Drosophila melanogaster: one gene and its partner. The protein of the gene in region 1 interacts with the protein of each later gene in a pairwise test. Each region holds a gene or a part of one and is shown on either strand. Other genes may lie near its edges. The genes, in order: Ubc10 and CG12362.

What was found.
Region 2: the proteins of Ubc10 (region 1) and CG12362 interact in a two-hybrid assay, tested with the Drosophila melanogaster proteins (one large-scale study listed by BioGRID).

The regions. Positions count from the first base shown.
Region 1 is NT_033778.4:17,784,850-17,800,601, reverse strand, and holds Ubc10 (ubiquitin conjugating enzyme 10), read left to right. Parts: upstream 1-11,191; 5' UTR 11,192-11,499; coding exon 11,500-11,964; 3' UTR 11,965-12,188; downstream 12,189-15,752. Other genes in the region: Dhit (double hit), read right to left, coding at 2,833-2,917, 2,986-3,274, 3,339-3,400, 3,471-3,548, 4,998-5,006, 5,174-5,475; CG5033 (uncharacterized protein), read right to left, coding at 8,245-8,398, 8,462-8,757, 8,818-9,305, 9,369-10,683, 10,754-10,855; aft (adrift), read right to left, coding at 12,189-13,808, 13,862-14,302, 14,358-14,399.
Region 2 is NT_037436.4:10,404,618-10,421,169, forward strand, and holds CG12362 (uncharacterized protein), read left to right. Parts: upstream 1-8,200; 5' UTR 8,201-8,419; coding exon 8,420-9,955; 3' UTR 9,956-10,157; downstream 10,158-16,552.

The DNA of each region.
Region 1 (15,752 bases):
TTAGTTTAATCCATTTTTTATTTATTGATTTTGCCGTTTTTGCGTTTACACATTAGTTGATTTTCATGTAATAAATTTAATTTGTGGTTTTTAACTGGTCGAAACATTTCACTAATGCTTGATTACGTTTTTGTACATATACCGCTAAGTAGTATATATATGTATGCATGTATCGGTGTGTGTGTTTTGTGTGCGAGTGTGGCGGTGTATATAACTAAAAACAAACAACAATCGCATTAAATGTACTTATATATTTGGTTTTTTTCTTCAAAAAGTCTTATATCTGTCCGTTATGCAAAAGTAAGAAACCGAAGAGAAGCATTCACAAACAAACATTCCATCCCTCCGCGCGTCCCTTTGTCCAGGACATTTTTGTCTAACCTGATTGCCTAAAATTAATGTAACAAACCATGGAAACGTTGATGTTGGTTCTCGGATTCTCACCGATCCGCGGATCTGCCGATCTCATCGAACACTATAATGCAAAGGCGTTTGTCGAATTCTCAATTCCAAGTAGCAGCCTGAGTGACGCGTGAAAGTCAAGTTTCAAAGGACTAGGCGGAGATGTGATTTACCATATGAATCCAGAAATCGGACCTTCGATCGTGTCTAAGCTGTTATAAAAATATAGGAACTTATGCGGGGGTATTCCAAAAATATCTCTATATTAAAGAAAAACTCATTTGGTGTCCTTATGCTGAGCACCTTAAGATTTGAGAATAAGAAAAGTAAGTAACGTTGGCTCGATTGGTGGAAAACAATATTGAAATCATATATGCTTTGAGTAAACTAGATGTTGTTTAATTGCTAGTAAAGTTAATATACTTGTGTTTGCTGTTCTTGTTCATGTCAGAGTGTGATGGATGGGGTTTTGTATCGATAGATGCATTAAAACTAGGCACACCAACTAGCTACGAAAATACATTCCCTGCTCCCCGCAACGAAGGTACACACATTAATATTGTACTTTAAAATATTGTGCCTCGAACACAAACAACCTAAGGTCAAAGGAAACCAACTTAAGATCGAAATAACATTGTTAACTTTTTGCCAGGGCTCGAACCGAAAGTCCTCCTGTTTGTTCTGTGTTTTTCCTTATAAATTTGTTGGTTTTTTTCATATTTTATATTTGTTTTTAGTTTTCAATTCGACAACTTGTTTGCTAAAATTTAAATGTAACCATACTCTTGTGTTTCCTTTTTTTTGTTATTTATAATACTGTTTTTTAATATATGTTTTTTTTTTTGAATGCAGAAAGGGAGCAATGCAAGGAAACTCTTGGAACTTCCGCTTTTCTAACGAAAAACAATTGCATAATACATTTGTAAGTGGATATATTTTGTTGCGAAGTTCTGATTCTTTTTTTCTTATTTGTGTTGGCAGTGATATTGCGAAACGTTCTTCTTTCGACTTGGAAATCAGCTCGACATCGAAATAATATAGTACACGTTAGTTATGCGCTTGTTCCGGTTTGCATTTGGATAAGACTCTATGGGGTGTGTATGGTCTGTTGTGGTCTGGCTCAAAGTACAGCTCAAGATGAGGCTTTGTAAGATTTGCTTAAGAAAGGACTTGATCCTCAATGGGGTTTCATAAGAAAGTAGAAAGTGTTGCCGTCTGCTGTTGTATTTACAAAATGCTTCGATGTCATTACTCGTATGACCTAAAACGATTTCAAAACTAGTCATGTTAAATGTCTCTATATATCCGTATTTATATATATATATAGTGACGTATTTGGGTGGTCCAAACCAGCCACTTCCATTATTTCAAAGAAATCAGTAATGCACTCTAGTAATTTTCCATAACGTATCCCAGCTGCGCAGCATTCGTTTATCTTTGGCAGCGCAGCCGTTCTTGTAAACATCCTAAAGCCTGACCTAAGCAGATTTGACTGCCCTCTTTCAACGCTACCTAATCTTAAGAACCCAAGAGCGAGGCTCTCCCGAAATACAAATATTGTTCAAATACTGAGGCTTCTCCTCAATCCAATTTGCATTTGATTTTTAGTCTTAAGCTGAGATCCAAAGAATAAAGTCGTGAAACTATTTCTCCTAAAAACTATTTTTTATTTCTTGGCGTTGTCCTTAGTCAACTGACGGGACATTAGTTCGACTCATAAATAAAACAACAATTTTACTATATATATATATATATATATATATGCTGGTGTGTTGTATATATAAGTTTATAAAGTTTATGTATGTAATACGTTTAAAAAGATTTTTTGGTTTCTTTCCTTCTTTTTTTTGTAATGTTTTTTTGGAAAAAGTATTTCTGTTACGTTGCGGTTTATGATTACGTTTAAACATACTTATCAGTTAGCGGGTTCCGTAATCTTGGTTTCAATTTGATTAATACGTCTCTTAGATCACTAGTATTACAATGGATGCTATTTGTGTCGCTCGTTTCGTATTAGCTTTCTGGGTATTTTTTTCTTGTTGTTTTTCTTTCTGTTTTTTTGTTTTTTTTTGGTTGTTTTGGAAAATGCTTTCTGTGGTCGAACCTGCTTCTTAGTGAAAACATATTTTGTAATACCTAACTCTTTGGTTAGCTAACGACTAGAACGTAGGAAGAGAAAGGAATCCGATTCACATTGAACGCACGACGTCTGATTCACCGGCCCCAACCAGGATCCTGATTTCGTGGCTGCTCGCAAAATGGTTAAATGGTTCTACTAATGGATACATATTGCTTAGTCGATTGCAGCAGCGATTGGGGCGGAAAATCAGAGATATACCAGTGGAGAGCAACAGCGGAAGTCAACACAGCGCAACTGAATTCGATCCAAATCCAAATCCAAATCCGATCCGGGACATCAAGCCATCCTCTCTAAGTTGGACTATCCGCTTTGGAACCGGCATTCGAGTTGTCTTGCAGTTGAGCTAGTGTCTTGAACTTTTGAGAGTTTAGGAATCTGTTGAAAAAGATACCCCGTTTAAGTATAAATACAGTATCTTTTATTTTTGCCTAAAGAGCACTCACCTCGGATATGAGTCTCTGTGCATCAGTGTGTAGATCTGGATTTGAGCTTCGTCGAAGGTGTGCGTCGTGGGCTCGATCATGTTCCGGTTGACAATCTCGCGGACCCTGGAGTCCAGCGACACCTCCCTGGGCGACAGGATCGAGATGTAGTCCTCGTAGATGAGGCGCGCCTTCTCCTCCACCAACTCTGGGCTATTCTCCTTCTTGAGATCCTCGCAGGCCAGCCAGAATAGGATGTTCTCCTCACTGAATTCGCTGCGCAGGAAGTTCTGGAACACCTTTCGACCAGCTGGGAAAATATTCGGCCAACCACCAATTAGTTTGGATCAAGGTGGCAATTGTCAATGGCTTACCTGTACTTTTCATCAGCTTGTCAAAGCTTTTGCCCCAGCTGCGGATTTCCTCCAGTGTGGGTCTGTAATGTACAAATAAATGTAGTTTTTCCGTGGCTTAAGTTTATTAAGTTGATTGGTGCTCAAACTCACTGCTCGCCATCCAAGAATTCGGCATTTACCAGATCTCGCTTCGTGGGGGCATTTTCATCGGCATTCTTGATGGCCAGACTGTAAAGATAAGAAAAAAGGGAAAAAACAAGGGGGGTTTGCTTGTTAAAAGTCGATTATTTTGATTTTACAACTCATCAATCACCCTTTAAAGTATACTACAATTTTATTCATCGCTGAATTGGCGCTCAGCCTGACTCATTTTTAACTGGCACAAAATAGCATAAATATGTAAGTACAGTAGCCGCTCGATAACGTAAACTTTTAGATAGCGCAAGCTACTGATTAGCATTTTATAAAACACTTGCACCAAACATAGAAACTGAACATAAGCGATTCTACCACATTTTAAGCTAGAGAGTTTAAAAGTTACTCATATATCTGAACGCGATATAAAGATATAATGCCTCGAATAAACACTGTAGATAGGCTAATGGCATATCGGTTTTGGGTTTCGAAGCCCGGAGACAGAGCAACGGAGTACTCGAACTTGACATAAAGCTCTCTTATCTGGACGACAGTTATCAGAGCGACTCGCTGGCCCAATACCTAATCAAAGTCACACAGGCGTACATATACCCCTATACATATATGAATCAAATTAGATGCGGCCAGGGGGGGTTTGAGGCGACATCGGGTGCTCTGAACTGGGTTTTCGGGGCGATATACCCCCAAGTTGTGCACACAAAGGTGCGGACGGGGGGTTGCGAGTTGGCGGCGGGTCGCAAAAGACTTTCGTTTTCATTCACGAAAACATGCAACACTTGGAGGAGTCCGCGGAGGAGCCGCCACATACTTATTTATATTTGATTTGAAAAGTGCCCTCCAGAGAGCTTTTCGCTGCCCGTCGCCTTGCTCACGGAATTGTGAATGAATGCGGGAGAAACTGAGAGAGCGGCACCAGTGCTAAAGAGCGTTTCGTAAGAGAGAAAGCGGAGAAAGTTCGCATGGCGGAGAGAGAAAGAGCTTTTGGATGTTCAGCAGCGTTGCCAGCTGCCAGCAGAAGGCCACCTTTACCGTGTCCATTTCCATTTCAACTTCCCTATCCATATCCATATCCATATCCATGTCAGTGGGCACAGCCATAGCCGAAGCCAAAGCCAAAGCCAAGCAATAGTTAAAGCCAAAGCAATAACCATAGCTGTAACCGTGGCCACATCCATGACAGCACTGCGAGAAACATGGACTAATAATATTTCGACTCTCTTAAAAAAAGGGCTCAAACAGACAACCTTTAAAATGAAATGATTTATAAAATAAAAAAATAAAAAATTTGCAAAAAATTGATATTGAAATAAGTAAAAATAAATAAATTAATTAACAATAACGATGTTAATGTAACCAAAGATTGGTTCATCTGTTATAGTATATCTTGAAAATAAAGCTAACTAGGTAAAATAATTACGTATTTAAAATAATTGCGCATTTAATATTCTATACTTTACAGTCCAATAATACCAATCGATTCTCTCGGTGTATGAATGCATGAGTGTTTCAGGAGGTGCTTACCATTTGGCCCTGTTGTCAGGATGTGGTTGGCAGTGGATGGGTATTGGCACAGGTAGTTGTTTTAATGACCGAACGGTTGAGTCAAGGCAGCGCGGTAACGAGAAAGAAATTGATTTCGTGTCAGAGGATTCGAGCGGTGCACAAATAGGCCACTCGGTGGTGGCCTCCATACTCACCAGGAGCAGGAGCAGCAGCAGCACCAGCAGAAGCAGCAAGGCTTCTGCGACTGCGGACGCTGAAACGTGGTCGCGTTCGACTCCTGCAGCACGTTGGACGTGGAGCCGAGGATTCCCACGCTGCCGCCCACGGTGGGCGATACTCCGCCCAGGCTGCCGCCACCTCCGACGACGCCCCCGCCGCCACCGTTCCCATTGCCATTCCCATTGTTGCCACTATTGTTGGCGGCACTTTGCTGTGAGGATGCAGTCATGCCGCGCAATCGACAGCCACTGGGCAGCTCGGAAACGGTGCAGGACATGCCGCTACCTGCAATAAAGGAACAAATTGAAACGTTAATGAACACTGTGCACGGGATGGAGTGGGGGGAAAGTGTGCTGACAGTTGGGCGAATCACAGTCACACTGCAAAAAATAGCTCTATTAGTCATCTAGAAAGAATTGTTAACCAAGGTGCCCGGAACTTAACTACTTAATTGTCTTGGCTGGTGAGTGTTTGTCTTTTTGGTTTGGATCCCATTAATTTGACAAGATGTCATTCAAAAGATACTGAAACTGATTCATTATATTATAAATATTATTATAAATATTATATTTATATTATAAACATTATATTCATAAATATGTTATTTGAATCTAGTCAAAACACCTTTTAAATAAAATTGTAATATTTGTTCTTTGCATTTATCACAAAGAAACTTTATATGAAATTAAAGATTAAATAGTAAAGAAAACTGTTGAATTATTAAAACATTGATTGTTTGTATATTTAATTTACCAAAACTATCAAAATATAATAAATACATATTCGGGAAAGTGTAATCTGGAGGAGTAGGTCCAACTGCTCCCGATTCGCCTCGTTTTCCGTGTGCACTTACCTGCCCTTTGAAAGTTGAGGTTGACGCTGGCGGAGCTGACGGAGATGGTGGAGGTGGAGATGGTGATGGGTGTTGGGTGGTGAGGTGGTGCTGCCCCAGCTGGCGGACCGCCCACTGCCACTGACCTACCCACTCACCCGCTCGCTTTGGTGCTCTTTTCTTTGCTTCGGCTTCTCTTTCTCGGCTTCCTTGGGGATGTGGGGTATGCAGGGAGACCGTTACGTATTTATGTTTTTGCTAATAATTTTTTATCGAAAGTTCCCACACACTCTCTCTCTCTCTCTCTCTCTCCCTGTGGCGCTCTGTCCTCTCTTTCTCGCTCTGCCCACAGCTGCTGCTCTTGATTTTAGTTTTCGTTTTGTTTTATGTTTTTTTTCCTTCTCCTTAGCTTTTCCTTGGGCGATTTTACAAGCCGAAAAATTCCAGAAATTCTTCAAGATTTTTTCGATAACCTTTTCGAGTAGTAGTTATCCTTATCGTAGGTTCCTGACTTCAAACCTTCGCGTGGGTTTGGTTTCCGTTTTTTTTTCTAGGGGGTCTAGCGTTTCTTTAGAGAGTTGACGGTGCGCGGGTGGCATTTACATATTCCGCTCCGGATTTACGGGCGAAAATCTAGCGATTCAATGGCCCCGTGCACCAAGGGGCACATTTCACAAGCGTTACGAAATTTATGAGCAGCTGGAGCTGCCACCGTAGTTGTTGTTCTGGCCTTTATTTATTTCTTGTGCTAGTCATTACACTGCCATTGTATATGTACATATATATGTAGGCGCCGTTGTGTGCGTGCGTCTGTGCGTGTGTGCGTGAGGAGGGGGTGGGCTGGAGTACCACCACATTGACACGCAACTTGGCTAAGTGGAGCGCATTGTTTGGCCCGTTGGGCGGATGGGGCGTATGCGTGATTTTCTCCACTTGTGCTGATGTTGCTGCAACAGCTGCAACATGTAGGCATCAGCAGCTAATTGCACTTGTTTGTAACTCGAAACGCCAGCGATTTTTGGTCGTTGCACTTATCACAAATCAGCTGCTTGGGTTCTTTTGTTGACCATTGCCTTTAGCCTGGCTATCTATGTATATTATATGTATATTTTGTTTTATTTTCTTGTTGTTGAACCAGCGCTTCCGTTCAGATTTTCACTCAAACACCACACACACGTTTATATTTTCTTTGAGGATTTTTGGGCGAATGGGTGGGCGGGAAAAGGGGGTCGCGTTTGTATGTATGTATGTTTTTGAGGAGCAGCGACGAGTACATACGAATTTTTGCCACTAGAATCGGAATCGAAATGTGTATATTTGTATATATTTTTCTTTTTCGCCCCGAAATTGTTTTGCTTGTGCTTCGATTTTTTTTTTGTGAATTTCTTTACGATTTTTTTCGTTGACTGTTGAGAATGTGTGTGTGTGTATGAATACGAATTGGGGGAAACTGCAATTTTCGTGGTCACTGGACTGCCTGGACTGGCATTTTCACATTTTCACATTTCGCCCTCGGCCATATTTTATTATATTCCTTCGTGCTCGGTGCCCCCGCAATGGCAGCCAATTCCCATTCGATTTCTGCGCTCTGCGATTTTGGCTGCTCAGCACCAGCAGCACCCAGAAGCTGAAGCCAAAATCCTCGACGGGTCGATTCGAGCGTTTCGAGATTCTCTCCGCTCGGGCAAAGGCAGGCGACTGATTTCCAAGCAGTGCCGTGTCGCCAGCTCTTGATTTTGATTTTCCAATGCGCGCGCTCCTCCCGAGGAACGCAAGATAACGGCGAGTGGAAAGTGGGCAGCCGGGGGAGGGCTCCATAGGTGGACTGAGCGAAAAGCTTTGTGGAATTGCTATACAGTTAGAATTCCTGGTACACACAGGAGAGGGACTGACAGGCGGAGAGCGCGAGAGAACGGACGGTAAGACATGTGCGCGAGTCGGAAAAAGAGAATAAAGCTCGGGACTCTTCGCCCCACTGGAATTTACCGCAAAGCTTTGGGGCCAGAACTTATAAACTTTCGGCAGGGTTGCACTTACATTTTGATTTTGGGATCCCGTTGATTTCGAAAACCGTTGTTTTTAAAATGTTCGAATGAAATGGTTATATGAAATACTTTACTTTTCATAAAAATTAATATATTTTTTATTTACTATTGAAATTTCACAAAACTTTCGGAAACTAAAAGAAACTTTCTTGGGGTTTGTACACCTAAATTACGTGTATAGTCGGATGGTACTGTCCGCGCCCGTGGAGAAGACCCATGGCTGCACCGGATGCCAGTTAACATCCAGCACACCAAACTCATCGCGTTTCTCGTGTGTTTGCAGCTTCTTGAGAGGCACAATCAAAGGGTTTTGCAGCAGGTCACTAAAAAAAAGTTTGGAGAAATTCGTAATTAACCTTGGGCAATGTTGATTTATAGCCACTTACTTATAGACCATGCCATGGGAGACGATCACAGCCTGGTCATCGCTGCCGGAAGCAAAGAGCGGATATCGAAGATGGAAAGCAACACTGCGAACTGCATTGCGATGGAGTCGCATGGTCTGGTAGGGCTTTGTGGACAGATCCAAATCGAACCAGAGCATCTTTTTGTCATAGGTGGACACCAGCAGATTGTCGCCCTTGGGATGAATAGACATGCCCGATATCCATTTGGAGTTGGTCAGCAGCTTCTTGACAAGCTCTTGTTTGACCAGATCATAAATGCGAATGTTGTGTTGCGTCTGTAAAGAAAAAACAGAATTCAATAAGACATACTAACAAAAGAAAATTAACCCACTTACCGCCACAAAGAAGCAGGGCTTCACCGGATGGAAGAGCACGAATTGGATGAGACCCTTGCTCTTGGAGAATGGAATCTGTGAGCGCCGCTTGGACAACTGATGAATTAAAGCCGAGCGGTTAGCACCTTCGGGCATCACTGTGGCCAAGTAGTCACCACGACCGTGCCAGGTCACCTGTCGGATGGGTTTGAAGTGGGTAATCACTACGCGGACGCCCTTCTCCTGCTCATCAGCTTCCGCATTTGACCATTGCACCGCCGTCTTGATGCGTTCACTTTCAATGACATCCTGACTGGGCGCCTCAGCCAAGAGATCGTCGGTCTTCTTCACCAGCACCTTATCGCCCACTTTAGGATTGACGAGCAGCAAGCGATTGCCAGTGGCCACCGCAATAATAGACAGCTTGGGATTTGGACACCAAGCCACACAGCGTACCACTTCGTCGGTCTCGATTGTGCGAATGCAACGACCTGTTGCAATTTCCCAAACTGTGAGGTGAGATGGATTAGTAAGAAGATATCTAAAAGGTTGTCAATTAAATTAGTACTTACTCTTGACGGTTTTATCATCCGAACCGGAGACGAGGTACTCTCCCTTGGGCTCCACACTAACAGACCGCACCAGATCGGTGTGGCCACGGTAAACCATACTCTCCACCGTGGGAAAGGGTTGCAGGTCACGCGGCGAGGGCAACTTGGGGATAAGGTACTCGGCATCGATGTTCAGCTTGACACGCTTTGCACGGGGACACAGGTAAAGATCCAGGCAACGAAGGAAACGCTCCCGAAGGTATCTCGAGTATGCGGGCACCTCCCTCAGCGACTTGAACTTCTGTGGCATGAAGTGCAGCTTGCGCTTGTGTGGCTCGTCCTTTAGTTTAAGCCACTCCTTGGTCTCCTTGGCATCGAAAAGATACTCTGGCGGTGGATTGTAGGACTCGGCATGACCGGGAAGGTCGCGTTTGGGCGCAGAGACTGGATCGTGGATGCGGCGCATGTGTTCCCGACTGGTGTCCGTTTCCCACAGCATGTAGAACTTGGGACCGCGCTTGGCCTGCTTCTCGCGTTCCACTTCCTCAGTGGTCTTCATCCAGCCCATTTTGAGGGCGTGCACCATGCGAGAGACGCGCTTTTTCTCGGAAACTGAGGGCAGGAAAGAGCGTTTGTGGTCGGGTACGTTCTTGATGGGCATCTTTTCCACCTCCGATGTGAACCATTCGATCCAGGGCTCATACTCTTCGTGATCCTTGTTGGGTATGCGACCCGAAACGATGCGCTTGATCAGAGCAATGTCCTCGTCTGTTAGGCGCACATCCTGACCGGTAAGTGGATCCTTGACGGTACGCCAAAAGTCTGGGTCCTCGATCTTACGCAGGAACTCATCAATTTGATCTCCTTGTGGTGGTTTAATAATCTTCTTGGCATCCCAGTCGTAACCGATGTGCTTGTATTCGTCGTACCAGTGCATGGGTATGTTGCCTACAGTATTTCTTATGTCCTCCTCGTCGGAGGTATCTGAATCCTGATACTCAGGCTTCGAGCTATCCCGTTTCGGGAGCTCTGCTGTAAGGGCTTTTTTAGACGCGGCACCGCTTCCACTGGGCTTATCGTCTGTTTGCTTTGACTTGGAATCCTTCTCCTCATCTTCCACTTCCTCTCCATCAGTGCTTTCCTCCTCTTCATTATCCTCTTCATCACTACTTTCTTCATCTTCCTCAGCTGATGAAGATTGCTTTCTGCCCAAGTAGTTGCCCTCCTCATCGCTCTCGAACTGCAGTTCCTCACTGGAATCCGAGTGGTATTCCTGGTCTATGCCCTCGTCATCTGTTGAATCTTCGCCGGGATCTTTTACAGCTTGCAGCAGGTCCTTAAAGAGCACAAACACACATGCAGGTCATTTTGAAATGACTTTTTATATCACTGTCAATGGGTCTTACCTCCTCCTCCTCCTCGTTTTCGGAAGCCTCGGAACTGGCCACCACTTCATTTGTGGGTTCCGAATCCTTTCCTCTGCGTTTCAGAGCTAGTTTTTTGGTCATTTTGAGGTAAAAACAAAACTAACGCGGCGCACGTGTTGCAGTCAGCGATAGCGATGGGAATCGCCTGAAACGGTTGCCTATCGATTGGCTTGCCGCCACTGCTGCTGGTAATCGGTTACAAATCCATTTGGAAACAGCAACCCTTTTATTTTCATTTGTTACCTCTCTTAAAATATACATCTATAATAAATACTTTCCAATAAAGATTTATTTAGTATTAAACATAATATTACAGCCGTTGCAAGTTGCAAAATCAAGACAAAGTTATACATGACCAATGTATATGTATACCAATTGCAGCGCCGTTGCGAGCAAGTCTGCAAAATACCCTAACGCTAATTGGAAGATTCTTCAACGAACCATTTTCAGCGAAATTCGCAGACTTACGTGCGGATTTTTTTGGGCCAGTGCGAAAACCAAAGGTGACACCCCGCAACTGGAGCACTAGGAGCTCACCAACAACGAAACACCGGCGGCTGAACGAGAGTATTACATATCCGGAAGACAAAACCATCGATTTGCAGCTCACACAAGGGCAAACAAAAGTGCACACGCACACATTGGCAAGGTGGCCCCCTCCTCTTTCCGTTCCACACACACCTACGCACACACCAGCATAAGAGAACCCACACATAGACATCACGATGACTGCGCCGCGACGCCTGCGAAAAGAATTGAGCGATTTGCAGGGCAACGCACTGAAGTCCTTCCGGGACATTAAGGCGGACGATGACAACCTGCTGCGCTGGACGGGATTGATTGTCCCGGACAATCCGCCGTACAACAAGGGCGCCTTCCGCATCGAGATCAACTTTCCGGCGGAGTATCCTTTCAAGCCGCCCAAGATTAACTTTAAGACACGCATCTACCATCCAAACATCGATGAGAAGGGCCAGGTGTGCTTGCCCATTATCAGTACGGAGAACTGGAAACCGGCCACACGCACCGACCAGGTCGTGCAGGCACTGGTGGACTTAATCAACGACCCTGAGCCGGAGCATCCGCTGCGGGCGGAGTTGGCCGAGGAGTTTCTTAAGGATCGCAAAAAATTCGTGAAAAACGCCGAGGACTACACCAAGAAGCACAGCGAAAAACGTCCGGCCGACTAGCGGATAGGCGGAGGTAGAGCTGGAGGAGGTGGGCCAGTCCACAACCCATGTGTACCCTTACCCCTTAGTCTTGTGATTTTTCTGTTAGTTATTTAATTTTCATTCTTGATCCATGAAAAACTATCCTCAGAAAACATTTAAGCAGATATTTCCCCGGCAGAGTACCTAGTTTTGTAAAAGTAGCACTGTAATTTGATGCAAGTGAGAAATACATGTTCGTTATGTTAAAATACAGCTGCCGACTCTTGGATGGAACCGACATCTGAGTTGGATGTCGGAGCTACGGGCATGGGAAATGATTCCTCGCCCAACATGCTACGGAAGCAGGTCATTACAATGCTGTTGTTGTGCTGAATGAGGGCCTTGCTGAACTGGTTCTTCTGCAGCTCCTTAATGTCCAGCAGGCTGTGAATGGCCCCCGCCTGCTCGTCCTTAAGAAGTTCCAGCACCTGTTCCAAGGCACTGTTAGCCGTATCTTTTAGCTTACTCAACGTGAGAGTTTGCGCTTGATTGCTATTAAAACAACAATCCTGATAAACGCTCTCTATGAGAAATAAGAGCAGCGACGCCGCGTAATGGGTGAGAAACAGGAACTTGTGGAAGACAATGCTGTCGGGCTTCAATTTCTTTACTTCTTCCAGGAGATCAATGAAAAAGCGCTGCTGGGCGGTGTGGAATGCCTCGTCTTCTGTTGGTGGCAGGTAGCATAGTGTCTTGCTTTCCAACTGGCACTTTGGCGCAGACTGCCAGACAGGGTCGAGTTCAAATGTGTCCAGGATGCGAAGGCGCAGAATGAGTATTGGTTCCGAGGCAAACATGCTGCTTTGCAGGCTCTGAACAGGTGCTCCTCGTGAAATGTGAAGATTCAAGGGTGCCGTTCTGTTCTTAACGTATGAATACGGTGTTCTATTGTTAAGACACTTCTCCAGTTGATTAAATTCCCGACGCAAGCAGTAAATCTGCTTGAGAAGGTCACCGTGTTTCAAGGACTCCCTTTCTGTGTAGGAACCGCCATAGACAGGCACTTGGAATCCCAGAGCCTTACTGGTGGCCTCCTTGTCCACGATGCACAGGCTATCTTCTAATGGCTTCACTTTGTATAGACTGTAGTAGGTGTTCGCGACAAGACTGCGCAGGTGATGAAGATGTCTCAGATAATGACGATCATTGGACTCGTAGGCATAGATACTGCCCTCGATGGCATCCGTTTGAAGCTTCATGTACATACGGCAGGCGATCTCGTGCTGCATGAGAAAGTCGTGGGGAATCTGGAACTTGGCAAACAGTGGCATTACCAATGTGTCATTCGGCTGAGCAAGCTTGCTCTTTATCTCCTCTAGCAAACGAGGCAAGTCGGGATGGTCCTTGTTGTAGTTCAGGCAGATAACATACACTTCCGAATTTCCCCGCTTGGAAGTAGCCGGCTTAAAGATGTGTACCTCCTCAAAGATGCAATTGAGTGTATAAAGTAGAGATACACTGCAAGCCTCGAAGAGGGTAAACATCTTCACTAGGAAGTTACCGCCACTTGAGAGAATTCTTAAGGCACTGAGTACTTCAGCAAAGAAAAGGCGAACCACTATCTCTTCCTGGCAATCAGGCTGTGCGGCACAATCGATGGAACCATCGGCAGTGACAAGATCCACCTGTCCCTGGAACTCCACCTCACAACGTTCCACCAGGTGGTCAATGTTGGCCACATCTAGTAGATTTCCAGTTAGATCTTTGTGAAAGAACCAGTTGTCCAGCGTGTGGACGATGAACCTGTCATCGCTGATCATCTGGTTTATAGCATTGCCTTCATAGTACGGATTCAAAGTAGTTGAGCGCCAGCGCCATTTAATCTGGAAAAAAGAGTTCCGTTCTCGTATCTCTCAAGGATGACTTGATAACTCACCTCATCCTTTTCATATTTGCTATGAAGGTAATGATTCAGAGATGCTATGAAGGCACCGGGTGCCTCGCAGAGATGCATACTGTTGACAGCCGGCTTCGTGACCAATGGATAACGATGCAGGCACTCGAACAACTTGCACCATGCCACAGTTACAAATTCGGCCTTCGTGTCGTTTTTCAGGCGCCAGGACACCTCGCCAGAAGGGTCACGCCTGTTGGTGTGAGCACTCCATTCCTGCACGCCATAGTCATTGAGTTTGCTTTTAACCGCATTCAGCTGCTCGCGCAGTCCCTGCAGCGCCTCGAACTGGTAGAACTCACTGAAGAGAGCCTGATCCGGTGGCGGCAACTGCCAGGATTTGTTTCCTTTCGGCTTCTGATAGTGGAACTTCTTCTCGAAGAGCTGCTCCACTTCGGAAGGCCGGATGGACTGATAGTCCGTCTGTAAAGTGTGAAATGTAATGACTGACTTGTAGGATGTAGCATCCTTTACTCACCATTGGGTGTGGCTTTCCCTGCGGAGACGAACGAAAGCTCATTCCGGCTAAATTTAAATGCGAGGCGTCAAAAACAAAGCGATCTGCGACACAATAGAGATGGAAAAAGCTCAAAGCGATCCATCGCCTAAATCTTAGCGACGGTAACTAAAAATCGCAAACGTTATCGATTAAGCTATCAAATTTAAATTGATTTTCCGGGCTGCAATGAATAATTATTTTATATCTCTAATGCAATATTATAGCTAATTCGTAGATGCAGAAGATTTGGCTAGACGTTTCCATAGCTTGTATCTGAAGATGAATGGAATAAGAACAAAAGCCATCAAGAATTCCATCTTGTTTAAAAGTTAAAGGTTGAAAAATAACTTCAGCCAATATGTTAAATGCAATTGTTTTTTTTTTTTGCCGCATATTTCTTTTAAAAATGTTTCTTAATTCTAGGTATTTTTCGACTAATTCCCTTTATCAAAAGAACAAAATCGCTATCTCCTGTAGAAATGTAACTTCCTTTCCACCTTCGACGGCGATGATCGTCAAAGGCATTTCCCGTAGATGCCCGATGGTGGAAACGTGGAAACTGATTTCTTTGATTCTATGGAACTATCCATTTAGAAAGCGCACGGCAGGCGACAAATAAGGTGCCTGCAAAGTGTGCGGTTACGAAACTATTGGTCATCATCCGTTAGTGATTCGATTGTGCATACTAATATTTCATTAAAATCTTATTTTATTGATGCGGATAGCCCAAGTACGGAAGTTGGAGAAATTGTCGGAAAGTTACATATACATACATATAAACTTACACTCCCAATCGGAATGTGGTTATGTCTTGGGGTCTCGGAATTTCAGCATCGACCATCGTGGCCAATGGGTTTACTTAATACGCGCATGCCTTGCCGACTTTATGGCCATTTGAAACGTGAGTCGTGTTTTTATGAATAATAATAACGATATTCAAATTATGAGTTTCCAATGCTGACAAAAGAAAAAGGATCGCATTGGCTACCGCAGGGGCATCACTCTTCCCTTGGAACTCGACATCGGTCTTGAGTAACGTTCTCCGCCTTTATATACATATATATATATATATATATATATATGCACATAGCTCCCTCTCATATACAAATAGCAGTCGTAGCATATGTGTACGTACATATAGGTGTAAGTACCCAGGCCGGTATATTTGTGCCCAGTTTGTATATAGAAGAGTCCGGCACGTGACTGTTTTGTATAATCGCGCATAAATATCTGTAATGTAATGCCTATAGATAATGGTTCACAGCGACGGAGCAACAAAGTTCTGTAGTTACTTCGGCTTAATCGTCCCGGCAAGATCTATGTATGTATCTTCGTACTCCTTGGACATCTTCAATAGCTTCGAGCGGAAGTAGC
Region 2 (16,552 bases), on another chromosome or scaffold:
AAGATTTGCAATAACTGAACAAGGAATCGATTTATGGATTTATAATAACATTACAATGAGTTGTGCATTTGTATTTTTATTTTATGTTGTGTGGGAATTAATTGTCGTACATTAATTATGAGCAACCGATTCACTTAAATCGATATTATATATACTTATTTTCCAGTATTAAAAAAATAACATTATTTAAATCCAATCATCTTCAATATATCATTTGTTCCTATGCCATAAATCAGTGATAATATAATAACCTTTACTGACATCATTAACCAATCCTCTTCAAACATTAAAACCGTTTTGAAATTAAGAATATATTTTCTACCTGGAAATCAATGCGTACAATATTGTTTATAGATTATTATTAATAAAAATGTTGTGTAACTTAAGTAAGCAATTTATATTTTTATGATATTAATTTTTTATTTTTTACGTGTACTTTAATGTTTTTTAAAATCAATAGTTATTAAATTTAAGATCGACATAAATTTAAAGCAGATAAATTATTAACTTTACCAATGCCTTTTAAACTGCCCGGTTTTTAGAGACTTTTTATATTTTTACGTTGCCTTTTTATATGCTCATATTATGGACCGTTCCCAAAGTTAAAATAATACTTTTTAAAACCAAATAACTTTATATGTTTTCTTGCGTTTTTATTGAAAATTGATTTATAATTTAAAATCGGCAAGCTACCATTAAAACTAAAGGCTGAATTATAAATCATCTTAGTCATTTATATTGCGTGGGCAGTCATTAAATTTACGGAAAGTCAATTGCAATTAGTGAAAATATTTGAGTGCAATATGAGTAGATGAAAAACAAAAGGGGTAAGGCGAGTTAGATGTTGGCCATATATGTATATACATACATATATATTAATTGCAAAGCTGGCGAAAAGTGAAAAGTGTCATAACAAGGCGAAGAATGATGGGACTGCCGCTGTGTTGCTGCGACTGCCACTGAGATGCGATGACGTTTGCAGCTGAGTTTTAATGACTCACTAAATTATTCATACGCCGTGGATGCCGACGAATGGCGTTTTGTTTTGAGCACGCCAAGCGCTAAATGTAAACAATTCAGCGCCAGGCAAAATGAAAAGTCAACAAACTTGTGCCGAGCATATGAATATGCAATGAATGCATAGCCTGGCTGCTGGCCTGGCTTGGCTTGGCTTGGCCTGGCCAAGATGATGTTGATGATGTCCTGCCGTTGACAGAATTGTGGATTTGCGGAGTACGGGTCGTATACCTCATATATACAATATATACATGCTGCTGATATGAAGAGCATGTGTTGTAGTGAAGTCACTTTCTACCCTCTCGCTCAAATAGAGGGATCACATGACTTGATTGCTTACACAGCCGCCATAGAACATGCTGGTATACGTATACGTATTAATATGAAACGCTTTTGAGCACGTAGCAACACTTATGGACCCTCAGTCAGCCATCCTGGATGGGATATATCACGACAATCATCAGAGGACCAGGACGAGTACGAGAGGACAACGCAAACGACAATGACGAGCACAATGAGGATGGAACACTGGAGTTCTGGTAGCTGGTGCGTACGATTCCATTACCAAAATGCCAGTGGAGTGATGACGAGATGACGATGTTGATGATGATGATGATGATGTATCATGCATGAAGCATAAATTCCATTTTCAAGTGCACCTCTCAGAATCCTGCCTGCCTGCCAGCCGAGTTATCCTTTTTGTTGGCTTTCCATCTATTTTCTTTTTTTTTTTTTTTGTTTCTACCCCCCGTTTGTACCTTCTTTGCTGCAATTTTTATTTTCATCTTACTTGAGCCTACACTTCATTTAGCCCCGTCTGCACGGAGCTCGTATGCATTTATTTGTTCAAGGGTTTTTTCTTCGCTTCCTTTTTTCTTCGTCCTGGCTCCGTGGCTTTTTCGCTCAAGTGTTCATGCATTTTCTTCATTGATTGCATTTTTTGTGTTCGTGCGAATGATGTTCGTTGCTAATTAGCCCAAGGGGTTGAAACAAAGGACTTCTGGGGGATATTGCATAATAATTATGCTCAAGTGGCGGCTGGAAATCCGTGAATAAAATGCAATAAAGCTTAAGGACGCACATCTGAATTTAATTGCACGCAAATGAAGTGCAGTATTTATCTGAAACCAAAATGGTTAATATTTGAGCATATTTTCAATAAATAATAACAATGCTACGGAACTGAAATCACACATCCAGCAACTGTATTCCACACCTTTGTGGCAGTCATTACAACTGTATCAGTTTCATTCACAATTGAGTTGTTGCCATTGTTACGACTTTATAAGTGCCTGTATCTAAGTATCTAAGCAATGGCATAGTTAACGTGTTTTTTTTTTTTTTTTGCCAGCTGCCGACTGCTATATAAATATTTCTGATTGCGCTTTATAGAGTTATAAAAGAGTAAGCGCAAAAAAGAAAAGAAAAAAATATGGCAAAGTATGGTAATAAATGCCATGGCATTTGAAAATGTTATTAAAAAATGCTGGTGAAAAAAAAATATACTGCACAGAGAGAGAAGTCAGGCCATGCATATAAATTGCATGGCCTGCATATAGAAATAAATATAAAGTGAAACAAAAAAATACAAATGGTATACCAATAAGTGGTGGACAGGCTATGACGTCAGTTGGCCAAAATACCAAGCCAAGAGCCAAGTGGTGCCAGCCACAGAGATCACAGCTAAATCAGAACCATAAACCAGAAACAACTTCTAAAAACAACTTTCATTTTGTACTCGAGAACGCTGCGCTCGAGTACTGCAACAAAAACACAAAAAAAAAAAAAAATAAAAATAATATTTAAATTGAATAAAAAGCTGGAACAGACAGAAACTTCAAATGATTGCGTTTCATTTCCCATTGAGAATGAAATGTGCCAAGGGGTGTGATTGGGAGGACCACGTTCGTAATTAAGTTGAAGTCGCATAATTCAATTAACGTCTTGGCCGTCTATCGCTAATGGGTGGTGCTAGTGGTTCTAGTGGTTCTGGTGGTTCTGGCGGTTTTAGAGGTATTTCTCACTGCCGTTGGAGCACACGCAAACGCAGGCAGCAAAAGCACCCACTGCTGCATTGTATTTACTAAGTGGAACTGGTCACTGATCTGGATTAGCAGCAATAACAACAGCCGGCCAAGTAGACGTCAACACAATCACCACACAGAGACTCGAATGCTGCACTGGGCGAAGGAATGGCAATTAGAATATTGACAAAATTACTCAAATAAAAGCGTTAAAAAATAATAAAGTAATAAATTCTACCCTGGCATATAATTTAGACATTAAATTAATCAATTTGTAAACATAAAGTAACATAAACCACAAGTTCAAGGAACATAATGAATGTTGTTAATACATATACTTGTGTTGTTAGCAAGTGACAGTTACGATGCGCTCTAAATTGATTTGCGGTGAACCTACGATTTTCACAGTGCATTAGAGCCGGGCTAGGAAATATTGTGGGGACACCGCTGTACCAAAGCGTGACAGGCATGAATTAACAATTTGAATTAATGTCAGTTACTCATGGCATGGCTGCTGCTCCAAAGACTGAGTGCGATGGCCAGGGGATGGTGATTGGATTGGGGGGGTAGGGGGGGTAGGCAGATTGAGTGGGCGCCCTCGTTTTAGTTCGCCTTAGTTGCACTTACTAATTTCTGACTACGACTGGCATTGATCTTTGCATTGTCCGTCCCGTCCGCCGGCGGCCACAAAATGAAAGGAAAAGTAAGTTACGATTACGTTGCCGAGCGAGCGCAGCGGAGTTAACGTTAACGTTAACCAGAGGGAAAGGTAATTGCGATTTGGCCAGAAAAGGGAAAGGAAATGTTTCCTGCGCTGTGATTTTTGCTTGGCCAAGTGTCAAAAAATGTGGCATTCCCCCCCTTTGGCTTCACTCAGATGAAGGAGGGCCAAAAGGCGGGATTGGGATTGGGATTGGGCGAGATGGGGTACGAACGAGACTGGAACCCGGCTGAGCTGGCGCCAAATTAACCGGAAATGTCACAATGGCAATGGGCGACGTGCGGCCCGCTGCCCGTTTTGGAAATTATACAATTTTGTCACGTGACGTGCATTAGAAAACACAGTCGCACAAAAACACGAAGATATTACCAAGACGTGCCAGACTGTCGCGGTCCAAGCAAAACCAAAAAATGCGGAGAAAAAACAAAGAAAATCTGATAGGAGCGAATCAAACAATTAAAGGCCAACCAGATAATCGAAACATAATATGAGGTATGAAAGGATACTGGAAACATAGTTGTGACCATACAAATTTAAAATGAAATCAATTTTTTAGAAAACTGTTTTAAAATAACAGTGTAGGTGCGTATAGTCACTCACTTTGATAATTTGTTGCAAGTTTATTTAGTTTACTTATTTATATTTGCTTACAATAAATTTCAATTTAATTCAAATGCCCCCAGTACAGCACTAAGTAATACGCTTTAATTACAACCAATCCACCCCTGAGTTCCCATTAGAATGGTATAAAAACCAGTAACGCCCCCCACTTAGACGAGTGTGAACCCGTCAACTCTACTAAATGTCAACTGAACACGCGAAATTCCGCAGCAGGACTTTCACTGGCCAGAGAGTCCTTTTTCTGAATCATATACCTGCATATACAGCCGGCCGTCAAAAAAGTTTTTCAAAACCAAAGGCAACGTTCTCTATGTCACTAAGTGGATGGGGTTTTTTTTTTTTTTTTTTTTTTTTTGTTCACAAAACCAACGAAAAGAAGCCGCAAAAGCGCGAGAATATTGGCGGACGAAATGCAAAACCCGCTTTGAAGTCTGAGCCCAGTGATTTGCCTTCTTGGTGGCAAACTTACTAACTAAACTGCCACTTTGAAGTGGCGTAGTTTTCCTTCTTAACGCACTTTCTTCGTTGGCGAAAAATACCATACCAGCCAGAAAAGATGGCGGAAATGCTTCAATTTCAAAGGCGAAATGCCGCCAAACGATGAAGAGACAGCAGCACGTACGAGTCCACACATGTGGTGGAAAAAAGTTTTTCCTCTGCTGATTTCTTTCACTTTTCGGGGGTTGAATGTGTAAAAGGGGGAGCACTTTCACTTTTCTTCGCACCCAAGTATTCTGTCACAAGGCTACATTTTTTTTTGTTGTTCCTTTTTTCGCACAACCTTTTGATTGGAAGTATTTGCGCAAAATATGTGAGGGTGGGATTATGATAAAGGATATGCCCTAGGGTTGCAATAGAACACAATCGTTTTCAAAGCAAATTTTTGGCACTGCTTTTTCTTTGATGAAGAGTTAAAAGAGCTGTCTGTGCAGTGACATTTGCGAATGTCAAGTTAACACAAAAAATAAAGACCTGCAGAAATGATTAAATATAATAAAAAAAAATTGAATATTTAAGATTCATCTTCACCAAGGTACTGTGATAAATGTGCTGTTCCCGTAACCCATTTTTCCAACCAACCACTTGATGAATGATCACCCGGATCGCACTTAAAACGAATTTAAAAGTCTAGACTCTAGACCAAAACGAAATTTCACATAAATCTCTGACACACTCGAAACTTGAAATTAATTTTTTGATTTTAATTATATACGAATTCATCGCCGGGCAGCTACTGTTAAACCGCTACTCAAGGTCAATCAATAGCGCAGAGAAAACATAAATTCAGCTGTCCATGCCAACCGTTAATGTAATAACTCATGCCTCACCGCGACTTGATTATGAATCGAGAGCCAGGCTTTAAACAGAAATACAAAAAAAAAAATGCTAACATTCTTTCCTATACTCGTACAAACTCGTACATATATCATTTCTCTTTTGGGGGCCCCCGTCGCATCAAAATCAAATTAGTTCCGAGCGTTGATTTTCTTCCAACAGTGTCGGCGCTTCATGCTCGTTGATTTCCAGCTAATTTTTGCTTTTCAAATCGACTACACAATACCCAGAAAAGAGAGTAATTATAATGCGAGAAGCGGGCGAACGCATTTATCGCTGCGATCAGCATACATCCGTTTGCCGCTGAAATAAAGCTTGTAATTACCTGGCTAATTTACATGAATTTCGAAGCGAACATCCTTTTTGGCCAGAGAAACCGTTTGCCGAGCTGGAGAAAATATTTCCCAAGAATATTTCGCAGCAAATAGTTGCAGGAACATTAAGTACACGTTGAAAAATATAGATAACTTAAATGTACGAAATTTAGAGAAAATAACAGCAACTTTTAAAAGATTTGAATTGAGCTTTGGTTTTTTGTTTTGTATGCTAAATTGTTTACATTGAATTTGTATCTTCACTTGAATCTTATCATTAGTTTTTCGTAGTGGAAAACTGTAAGTAGGCGCAGAAAAATGCCTGTTGGCCGGGATTGTTGGCTTTGCCTATCAGCTATTTGGCATCATCATCGGGGGCAGGCATGTGGTTCTTGGTCTTTTTGGCGTGGTCACGTCACAGGGCCATCGCTGTTGACCATCATCATTGCAGTTGGCCATTTCTCTCGGCCTCTCGCAACGCGATTGGCAACGATAAAGCGTCGTGGCCAACAAGTGGCGCATCTATGTTGCGATTGCATTTGCATCGTGGGTAGATGGGGAAAATTCTTCAAATTTTGCACATATGACACTGGCCACGCCCATTTGCTGGCAACCGCCTTCGTTCGCTCCTTTTTTTTTTTTGTTATCCCTGCTTCTTTTGCACCAGCAAATGGTCAAATTATTTCCTTTTCCGCATTTTCCACCAAAGCATTCACGCGCACGAAAGGATTTCTTGTAATTTGGCTGTGACTTGAAAAGATGCTGGATGAATGAAAAAAAAGGGGCGAGAATGTGGATCTCCAACCACACGAACTGATGAAAGGGATTTTGTGGGCTGCCTTTGCTGTTTTGGCGACTTGGCATTTTTATTTGTAATGATTTTTGCCAGCTCTTTTCGCTTTTCTGTTTTTTTTTTTTTTTTTTGCATTCTGGAACGGGCTACTGTTTTTGGCGGGTTGTTGTGCGGCTTTGTTTTAAATAAAAAGTATAACACAAAAAAGGGAGGGGAGAGCAAGAAATAAAGGCATGACCACTATGTGTGCTTCTCCTCTGTAAATGCATATACTCACGTAAACAAAATTCAGCACTCAAAGAAAAAATTAATGAAATAAAGCAGTTTGGACGAAATAAGCATTGACTTAACTAGATAAATGTTTTTTTCAAGGCAAGTATTTTAGAATCATAATATATTAACCATTTTAGTGACAAATTTATTTTGCATTAAATACGCCTATTTTAATTATAATTATTTTACTTACAAAGTTTCGAATAATGATAAATTTAATATTTTAATTGCAAAAAAAAATAAATGTTACTCTCAATTTTCTTCCAGTGTACTACTACCCAAGTGCATCTTGGCATGGCAGATTGAGCCCGCTTGTTCAATGAGTGCTGGAGATGGGCTGGATTGGTCTGCTCCTGGGATCCTGGACGGGGATCCTGCATCTGCATCTGCATTATGCACACTCATTACCCTTACTCCAGATCGCTCTCTCTCTCTCTCACTCATTTTGGCCTTCCGTCCCGCTCTGGTCGCCATTATCCTGCGCTCACTTCACTTTCATTTCGCATATCGTATATATGTGTGCATGGGGTTTTTTCCCGGATTTTATTCCTCGTTTTTATTTACGTGCCTTACCCTTGCCACTTGAGACATTGCTTTGTTCTGTTTTATGCCACGAAAGGGTTATGAAAAAACATATATCCCGAAAAGCTTTTAGTGTGCATGTGAGAACGCGTTAAAAGCGCAGGCCAAGTGCATTTCGATGTGCTCTCAACTCAAAACTAAAAATGCTCGATGCCTAAAGCCGCATAGCAACTAAAATTCACATAAAATTCTACTTTCAGTGTTTTTGCTATAAGTCTTATAAAATTTTTCAAACATTTTTTTATATGTTTTTAACTACCAACACAACACTGGTGAATCTCGTTTTCCAAATATTGCAGACATATTTTTGGTGGAAAGCAGTTTATGTAGCCATTCTAATAGCGGTTGGTCCCAAGACTTCAAAATTTTACAGCACTGGTGCTTACATGGTTGTACAAACTTACCAGATAATTTGAATCGAAAACGGCAATCCTTAAATGCTGCCATATCGTACAATTTATTTGCGTGTGTCTTTTTCGCAAAGGGAAATCTTGACAATTACTAACTAAGTAGGTTTAGTCTTCAGTAGAAAAAAGAAGAAAAACACAAGAAAAAATTAATTCTTTACATCGAGAGTGTTCAATAGCCTCCAATACGATTCGTGGTCTGTAAAACGTTGTTGCTGTCGTGTTTGTACCGTTTATATGAGTCTCTATTCCATCAGGCCCATAAAAGACATCAAATGTTTTAGATCCGGTGTTATAAATTCCAAAAAAAATTCTAACCACATGCTGGTAATATGAATTCCGAAATGGAATTCTCGGATGAGGACCACGGTGACTCGCATCGGTCGCTTCTCACTCACATGAGTTGCGAAAATGACAGCGACAGCGAGGACACCTGCACGGAAATCCTTTTGCCGGAAAATTCCAACAGTCCCGAAACGGAGGACTTTGTGTACAAGGTCCTTTCGGTGGACCAGATTGTTCAGCATCAGCGTAACATCATCGATGAGGTGAATAATGTCCTGAATTTGCCACCGCAAGTCACGCGTATTATCCTAAATCACTTCAAATGGGACAAAGAGAGCTTGTTCGAAAATTATTTCGAGAGCAATCCGAAGGACTTCTTTCAGCGTGCCCATGTGTTGAATCCCTTTGAGAAGAAGATTGAACGCGAGTCTGCGGCGTCTACATCCTGTGCCATACCTCAGCTCTGTGGCATTTGCTTTTGTTCTTGCGATGAGCTCATAGGTTTGGGCTGTGGTCACAACTTTTGTGCCGCCTGCTGGAAACAATATTTGGCCAATAAGACGTGTAGCGAGGGCTTGGCCAATACCATCAAATGTCCAGCGGCCAACTGCGAGATCCTGGTGGATTATATATCCTTTCTGAAACTTGCCGATGATTCAGAGGTTGTCGAGCGATATCAGCAGCTCATCACCAACACGTTTGTGGAATGCAACATGCTGATGCGATGGTGCCCCGCCCCCAATTGCAGCCATGCCGTCAAGGCCGTTTGTGCTGAACCACGAGCAGTCCTTTGCAAATGTGGGCATGAGTTTTGCTTTGCTTGTGGCGAAAATTGGCATGAACCCGCCAGCTGCAGTTCGCTCAAGAAGTGGGTGAAAAAATGTCTTGAGGACTCGGAGACATCGAATTGGATTGCCCAGAACACGAAGGAGTGTCCCAAGTGCAATGTTACCATCGAGAAGGATGGTGGTTGCAATCATATGGTATGCAAGAATCCATCCTGCCGTTATGATTTCTGCTGGGTATGCCTTGGATCCTGGGAGCCACATGGTTCGTCCTGGTACAGTTGCAATCGCTTCGACGAGGAGGAAGCGAAACAGGCCAGATTGGCTCAGCAAAAATATCGCTCTTCAATGGCCCGATATCTGCACTATTACAATCGTTATAGCAACCACATGCAAAGTTTGAAAATGGAAAATAAATTATATTCCAATATTCAGGCCAAAATGGATGACATGCAGGAGGAGATGAGCTGGATTGAGGTTCAGTTTCTGCGTGATGCCGTCGATGTCTTATGCCAATGTCGAACCACTCTGATGTACAGCTATGTGTTTGCATTTTATTTGATGAACAACAATCAGAAGATCATATTCGAGGATAATCAGAAGGACATGGAAATGGCCACAGAAAAGCTGTCCGAGTGCTTGGAGCGAGAGATCACTGTCAAGAATATCTATGAAGTTAAACAAAAGGTTCTGGACTTATCGCACTATTGCCAAAAACGACGACATGTCCTCCTTTGCCATGTGAGGGAGGGATACGAAAATGACTGGTGGGAATTTAAAGAAGAGACCACTACATAAATCGTATAATCCAATGACATCTGTATTCGATGAACAACATAACAAAAATGGAAATTAATACTGAAGACTTTATAAGAAACGCACACAGTAAATCTTTCGGTTTTCACTCGGGTTGAACTGACTTCAGTTCACTGGATAAATATTTTTCAAAATTTACAGTTTTTATACAGGAATAGAAAAATATAAACAATAAGAAAACACCAACCTTTAGGCATTGTGGAGTACTTGCATTTAAATTGGATGTGTTGGTTGTATTTTTTGTTTAAATATTGTGCTATTACAATGTAGCGTCCTCTAATAAACTCAATTAGTGTAGAATTTTGCAGAAATATTTTGCTTTCATCAGACCATTGAGACTTTTGTGCAATTTCCTGACAAGTTTAGATCCAATCTAGTTATATCGCCAGCCCCACTGTTTGCTCTCCTTCTTTTTTTTTTTTTTTTTTTTTTAATTTTTATTATTTATTGAATCTTCCCTTTGTGTTAAGAGACTAACAATAAGTGTTCAAATCTTAATCTAACTTAATTAACTTTCACTTAGTGATAGTTTTTTTTTTTTCATTAATGCCCTAATAAGTTTATTGCTGGGCTGGGAGGTCGTTGCGGTGCAGCCGGCTTTGACTGCATACTCGGATTAGTTTTCTTGCGAGGGGATTTGTATGGGTGGTCAGCTTTTCGTTATACTTCGTTTTTTTCTCAGCTATTACTTCGATTACTAATTTGATTTTTAGGTCTCTGTGTATGTTTTCGTTCCGAAGGTACCACGGCGCTCCAGTGATAATTCTCAGAATTCTTGACTGTGCTCGCTGAATAATGTCTATGTTACTTCTGGATGCGTTGCCCCACAGCTCGGAGCCATAAGTCCAGATAGGTTTTAAGACGGAGTTGTATAGAAGAGCTTTGAACTCCAGACTAAGTGGAGAGCGAGCATTTATGAGCCAGTGGAGGTTCCTTGCTTTAAGTTTAAGATGTTTCGATTTGGCTTCTATATGTTTGCGCCAAGTGAGCCGCCTGTCCAGATGAACTCCCAGATATGTTACCTCGTCGGCTTGTGGAATGCATATGTTATTCAAGACCAGTGGTGGGCATGTTTGTTTGTTTAAGGTAAAGGTAACCTGCTTGCATTTTTGAACATTTATTGAAATTCTCCAGTCGGCAAGCCATCGTTCTACAGATGTTAAGTGTCGGGATAGGAGTGCCGTGGCTTTTATTGGGCATTTCGAGCGACTGAGTATCGCGGTATCATCAGCGAACGTGGAGGTTGTTAGATTGTAGTCTATGGGGAAATCCGCCGTATACAGGGTGTATAAGATTGGACCCAGTACACTGCCTTGCGGCACTCCAGCTTCGATTGCGCAATCGCGTGAAGTGCTTGTATCGCATCTTATTGCAAACACTCTGTTATATAGGTATGACTTCAGTAGCTTATGTGTGTTTTGGGGCAACAGCTTGATTATTTTAAACAAAAGTCCATCGAGCCACACTCTGTCAAATGCCTGCGCGACGTCTAGAAAAATGGCTGTGCAGTATTCTCGATGTTCAAAAGCAGTACGAATTTCTGACGTGATTCGGTTGACCTGTTCGATGGTTCCATGTTTTTCTCTAAAGCCAAATTGATGTGTTGGAAGTGTGTTGTTTATTCTAAGATGAGGGCTAATCCGAAGGAGTAGCATTTTTTCAAACAGCTTTGAAAGACATGTTAGTAAGCTTATCGGTCTATATGATGATGGCTGCGTTTTATCTTTTCCTGGCTTTGGAATCATTACTATGGTCGACTTTTTCCATTTTTGAGGGAAGTATCCAAGCTTGGCGATTGCGTTGAACAACAGGCAGATGTGAAGAATAGCACACTTTGGGAGTTCAATGAGCATTCTTGGAGTTATTAGGTCGTAGCCAGGCGATTTTCTTGGGTTCAGTTGCTCTTTGATAACCTTTGCTAGTTCACATGGTCGGAATTCAAAGGGTTCTTGAGGATCTAGATTGGCTGCTATTAAAGGAGGGAGAATAAATGTGTTGGTAGAGGGATTTGGTCGGAATACATTTTGTAAATGGTCAGCGAAAGCACTGGCTCTTTCTTCATCACTTCGAAACCAGGTGCCAGAGGGACTTCGTAGTGGCATAATTGGCGCTATTGGAGTCTTTAGGTTTCTGTGAGCTCTCCAAAGAGGGTACTTAGTGCTGGTGGGAGAGAGTTGCTCGATATATGAACGTTGGCTGTTTTTTTCCTCTTGTTTGAGAGCATTGGTAAGCCTGCGTGTGGCTATCTTAAGCATGTGCTTAGTAATTGGTGATCTATTAGACTGCCAATCCCTTCGTAGGCGTCGTTTATCTAATACCAGCCGCTCGATTTCGCGATTAGTTTTGATGTAGTTTGGTTTTGCATACGTCACTGGCGGGGTTGAAGCCTTTGCAGCCGAAACTAAAATGTTTTCAAGAGTTTCCGTTGACTTGTCTATATCCTCCTTTGTAGATAATGCCGTCGTTAGTTCTATGTGTGAACAGACATACTTTTGATACCTTGGCCAGTTTGTTCTAAAATTTGTGAGTCTATACGGTGGGTCGACGATGTGGGGGCGAGTTAGCATATTTAGAAAAACAGGTGAGTGATCTGATGATAAATCTGCTAGTGCTTCGGCGGTGACCATGTTGCGGGGGACATGTTTAGTAATTGCAAAATCGATCAGGTCTGGGATTTTTCTTGGGTCTGCTGGCCAGTATGTAGGCTTACCCGGGACCTTCTCTCCTTCTTGGACCACTAATATGCGTCTGGCTTTTGTAATTATAACATAAATCAATCCCAATTTCATGTTATACTTTTCAGCGAAGCAAAGCGATTAATGTCGACAATGGACCAGAGAGATATGGCATGGCAAGAGGAAAATCATAAATAAGCCATATATTGCCATGGCCAATAACGGAATGGAACGAAATGAACACCCCACCGACCAACCGATCGACCGTATGAAAAATATTTCCTTATCGCGATGCTTCCCCAAGAGAAACGCCGCCAGGTGCAAAACGAAACGTGTGGATATATCGAAGTGTTTGGTGGTGGTAGGGGGGGTGGGAGTTGTGGGGGCTAGGAACTGGCAACTGGAAAAGCCTTGGCCAATAGATTTACGGCAAACGGCAGCCGAGTCGTGCCTGCCTTGGCTTAGAGTGTGAATTTTCGCACCCGTGATGAAGTTTCCAATTAAATTTTATTGGATTTCAAATTGAGGCTGAGACTCAAGCTGCTGATCCGATGCCTTTGCCTTTTTCCAGCTTCGACTGGCTGGTAAATATTTGCGCACCATTGTTGTGGCAAGTGTTGAAAGTGGGCGGTGCAGTGCTAACCCCCTTGCAACCTCCCAAATCCACCCACCAACTGCCCCCACATCACAAAATCCACTGTCTCTGGCAGAGTGATTTCTTATGGCAGTTCAATTGCGGGGTCATCAACGTGTCAGCATTCGAATTGCACCATTGCGGATGCCACAAAGTTGCACCCTGGAATTGACTAATTTATGAATGCATTGTGGGAACGCCTAGAGTATTTCGGTGATTGGCAGTAAATATTTCAGAACGAGGTGAAAGTTTTTAAGTGGTTTTCTTTATTAAGTTAAGTTACTTTAAGCTAGACGAATTGATAATTCGTCATTGATAATTTCATTTGTATGCATAAAATTGTAAGCAAATAACTTTATGATGATAAAACTAAGCTTGGGTACATAACTTACCAAAAAATTTTAAATTCATACGCAGTTTAAAAAGATATTCAGATGGCTTTCAATTACTCGAATTTTCTTTATCAACTTCCGCTTTTCTTCTCTCTTTTCTCTGCCCAACTTTAAGCTCTGGGCCTCATCTCTGTTTACCTAGCATATCGGCTTGGCCATAAGGCAGCAAGTGGCAGTCAACAGTTGGCCTGTTCCTGGCCCTAGGACTTCGGCTCATTCAACAAGTCAACAAACAAAACACACACAGCGGAGAATGAAGAAAAGATGACGATGGGGAATAAAGTAAAATAAAATGAAAAAAAGAAGAAAAAAAATCACTGTAGTCCTTCCGTTGGAGACCTGCTCCCTGGTCAAGTTGTGCTCAAGTGCGTTCGTATTAATTTTATTTATTGGCCACAAAATCCCAACCGCAGACACTCTGCCCCTTCTTCAGGCTTAACGGTCTCGGTTGGTCGGTCGGTCGTTCGTTTGGTCGGTAGGTTGCCTGGTTGGTTGGTTGGTATGTCCTGCTCCTTGCCTCTTGGCCTGGCTTATTGAATTTTTATCTACAGTTTGCCTTTGTGCTTATGGCATCTCACTGAATCTTGAATCGCCGCCAGGGCGTTAGCTATTTTTATTATGGCAAATTCTCCTTCAGTTTTGTTTTTTTTTCGCTTTCTACTTCGAGCTGCAGACACTTGATGTCCTTACATCTGCTTTACAACTTGGTCGCGTACTTTCAATTACGCGCCTTCGTCCTGCCATTGTCCTTGGCCTCCGTCGAAGGTCGGTTAATAGCCAGCCGGGATGACAATGGACCAGGGCCAGAAAGTGTTGTAAGCCAACTGAGATTACCGGCAAAACTGTGTCAATGGCCGGGATAAATCAATCAACTGAATGAGGAAGTAAGCGCTGGCTGACCTTTGTTTAAGAACAATAATGGCGTTTTGAACCAACTTGAATGGGATGTTTTATTGGTTCACTTAGTATTATCTTTAATATTTAAGCTGCAACTTGATTCGTTACTATATTTATATTTATTTATTTTATTTAAAATTGATGCACTTATAAAAAAAAAAACCAAATTTCCGTTCATAATTTTTTTTTTTTCATATAAGAAGCACCTGTCTCTGGTGAAAGACGTTTTATGTAATTCACGATTGCAGCCAATTTGTTTTTGCACTTTCTAATGGCTTCCCCTTTTATTTCCTATCTGCGGCACATTAGTTGGACCATTGAGCAACAATGTTGTTGCATTGTATCTTTTTGTACCGCTTTTTGCGGCGAAGGCATTAGCTTTGCAATAAACAATTTGCAGGAGACACCGAAAACAAAATTATATTGTATAGATGATATTTGTACAAATTTAGCTTTTTTTAAGACTAAATTTAGAATAGGAATAATTTTTTTTTTTTTTTTTAATTGTTTTTGAATTAAGTGATGAATGTTTATGTTTATATTAATCGAAGGCTGGCTTATTTCTTGGTTTCTAAGTTTTTTTTTTGCGGTGTAACTTTGACTATAGTTGGATCTGAATCTAAGGCTGCCTCTGCGACTTCTTGGCCACTTTTTGTTTTTTTGACTAACTTGTACTCCTTGCACTATCACTTCATCAGCGACGTGAATTTATGAGGCACTTTGCGCAGTCGCCGAGCATCGTTGGCCATAATTTGCCGCCGTCTTGGCTTCTCGGTCTCGTCTATTGCCGAGTGCACAAATTGCGTTGATATGCTGACAGGCGGCACACAGCTTGTGCACGGCGAGAAAAAGCCCCCCCACTTTATTAGCACACTCATTTGCCTATCGCCCATCCAAAAGTGGCGGCAAAATGCATTGAAAGTGCCCAGAGTCTTCGGACTTCCACTAAATTGAGGCACGCGCGCAGGCGTTAAAGAGTAAACAAATAAACAGTAGGCACCAGCAGCGGTCCACAAAAACAAAAAACAAAAAAAAAAAAATTGAAAAAATAAAGAAAACTTCAATTGAATTTAATTGGCCAACTTGTGAGGGGCAGATAGTTGGTCTTTTCGACACTAACTAACTGTCACATTTCTGTGATGCGCGAGAATTGGAGCTCAGATGCGTAAATAAGCGAGACTTTTGTGAAATAACGTGTTATCGAACTTAGGAATACTCTATTCACAGAAGAAATATGAATTTAATTAATTCTCAAATTAGGAAATGCTTAAAATACATATACAAATGTTATAATTTTTTATATACAAATGTATGCGTAATTCAAAATATAGTATTACTAAAATAAATACGCATTTAGAATCGGATTCAAAACCTTTCTTTTTTGTTTTTTTTTTTCGAAATGATATAGCAGTTACTCACATATTTAAAATATCTTAAAATCTGCTATATAACTTTATATAGCATTCATTTCTTTGCAAATAAAATATCTTCAAATTCGTTACATTTTCAATTATACCCCTTTATGTAGTGTAACTTTAACTTAACTCATCATACAAATTAAACGCATTCCTCGGGCTACAGCTGCCGTGGCTTCTGTTTTTTCTGCTTATCACTTGTATCATCATCATCATTCCCCAGCCAAAAAACAAAAAAAAAATCGCCATCGAAAAAGGTCGTGCCAATTTAATTAAGCGACATTTTATTTAATTATTTCATATATTGATTGCAAAATGTGTAAAGCTTTTAATTGCGAAAAATGACCGCAATTCCCCAAACGGCGAAAAACCCATGGCTCTCACATTCCCTTCCGCAAATATGTGTGTGTACATATGGGCAGTAATAATTTCAATAATTTCGCATGGCGAAATTGCTGGAATGAAATTGATTTGGCTTGACAGGAGATGCATTTAATGCATTTATATTGCATTTCATTATGCTTATTTCATTTCGTAATGATTGAATTGCAACGGCTCGAATGATG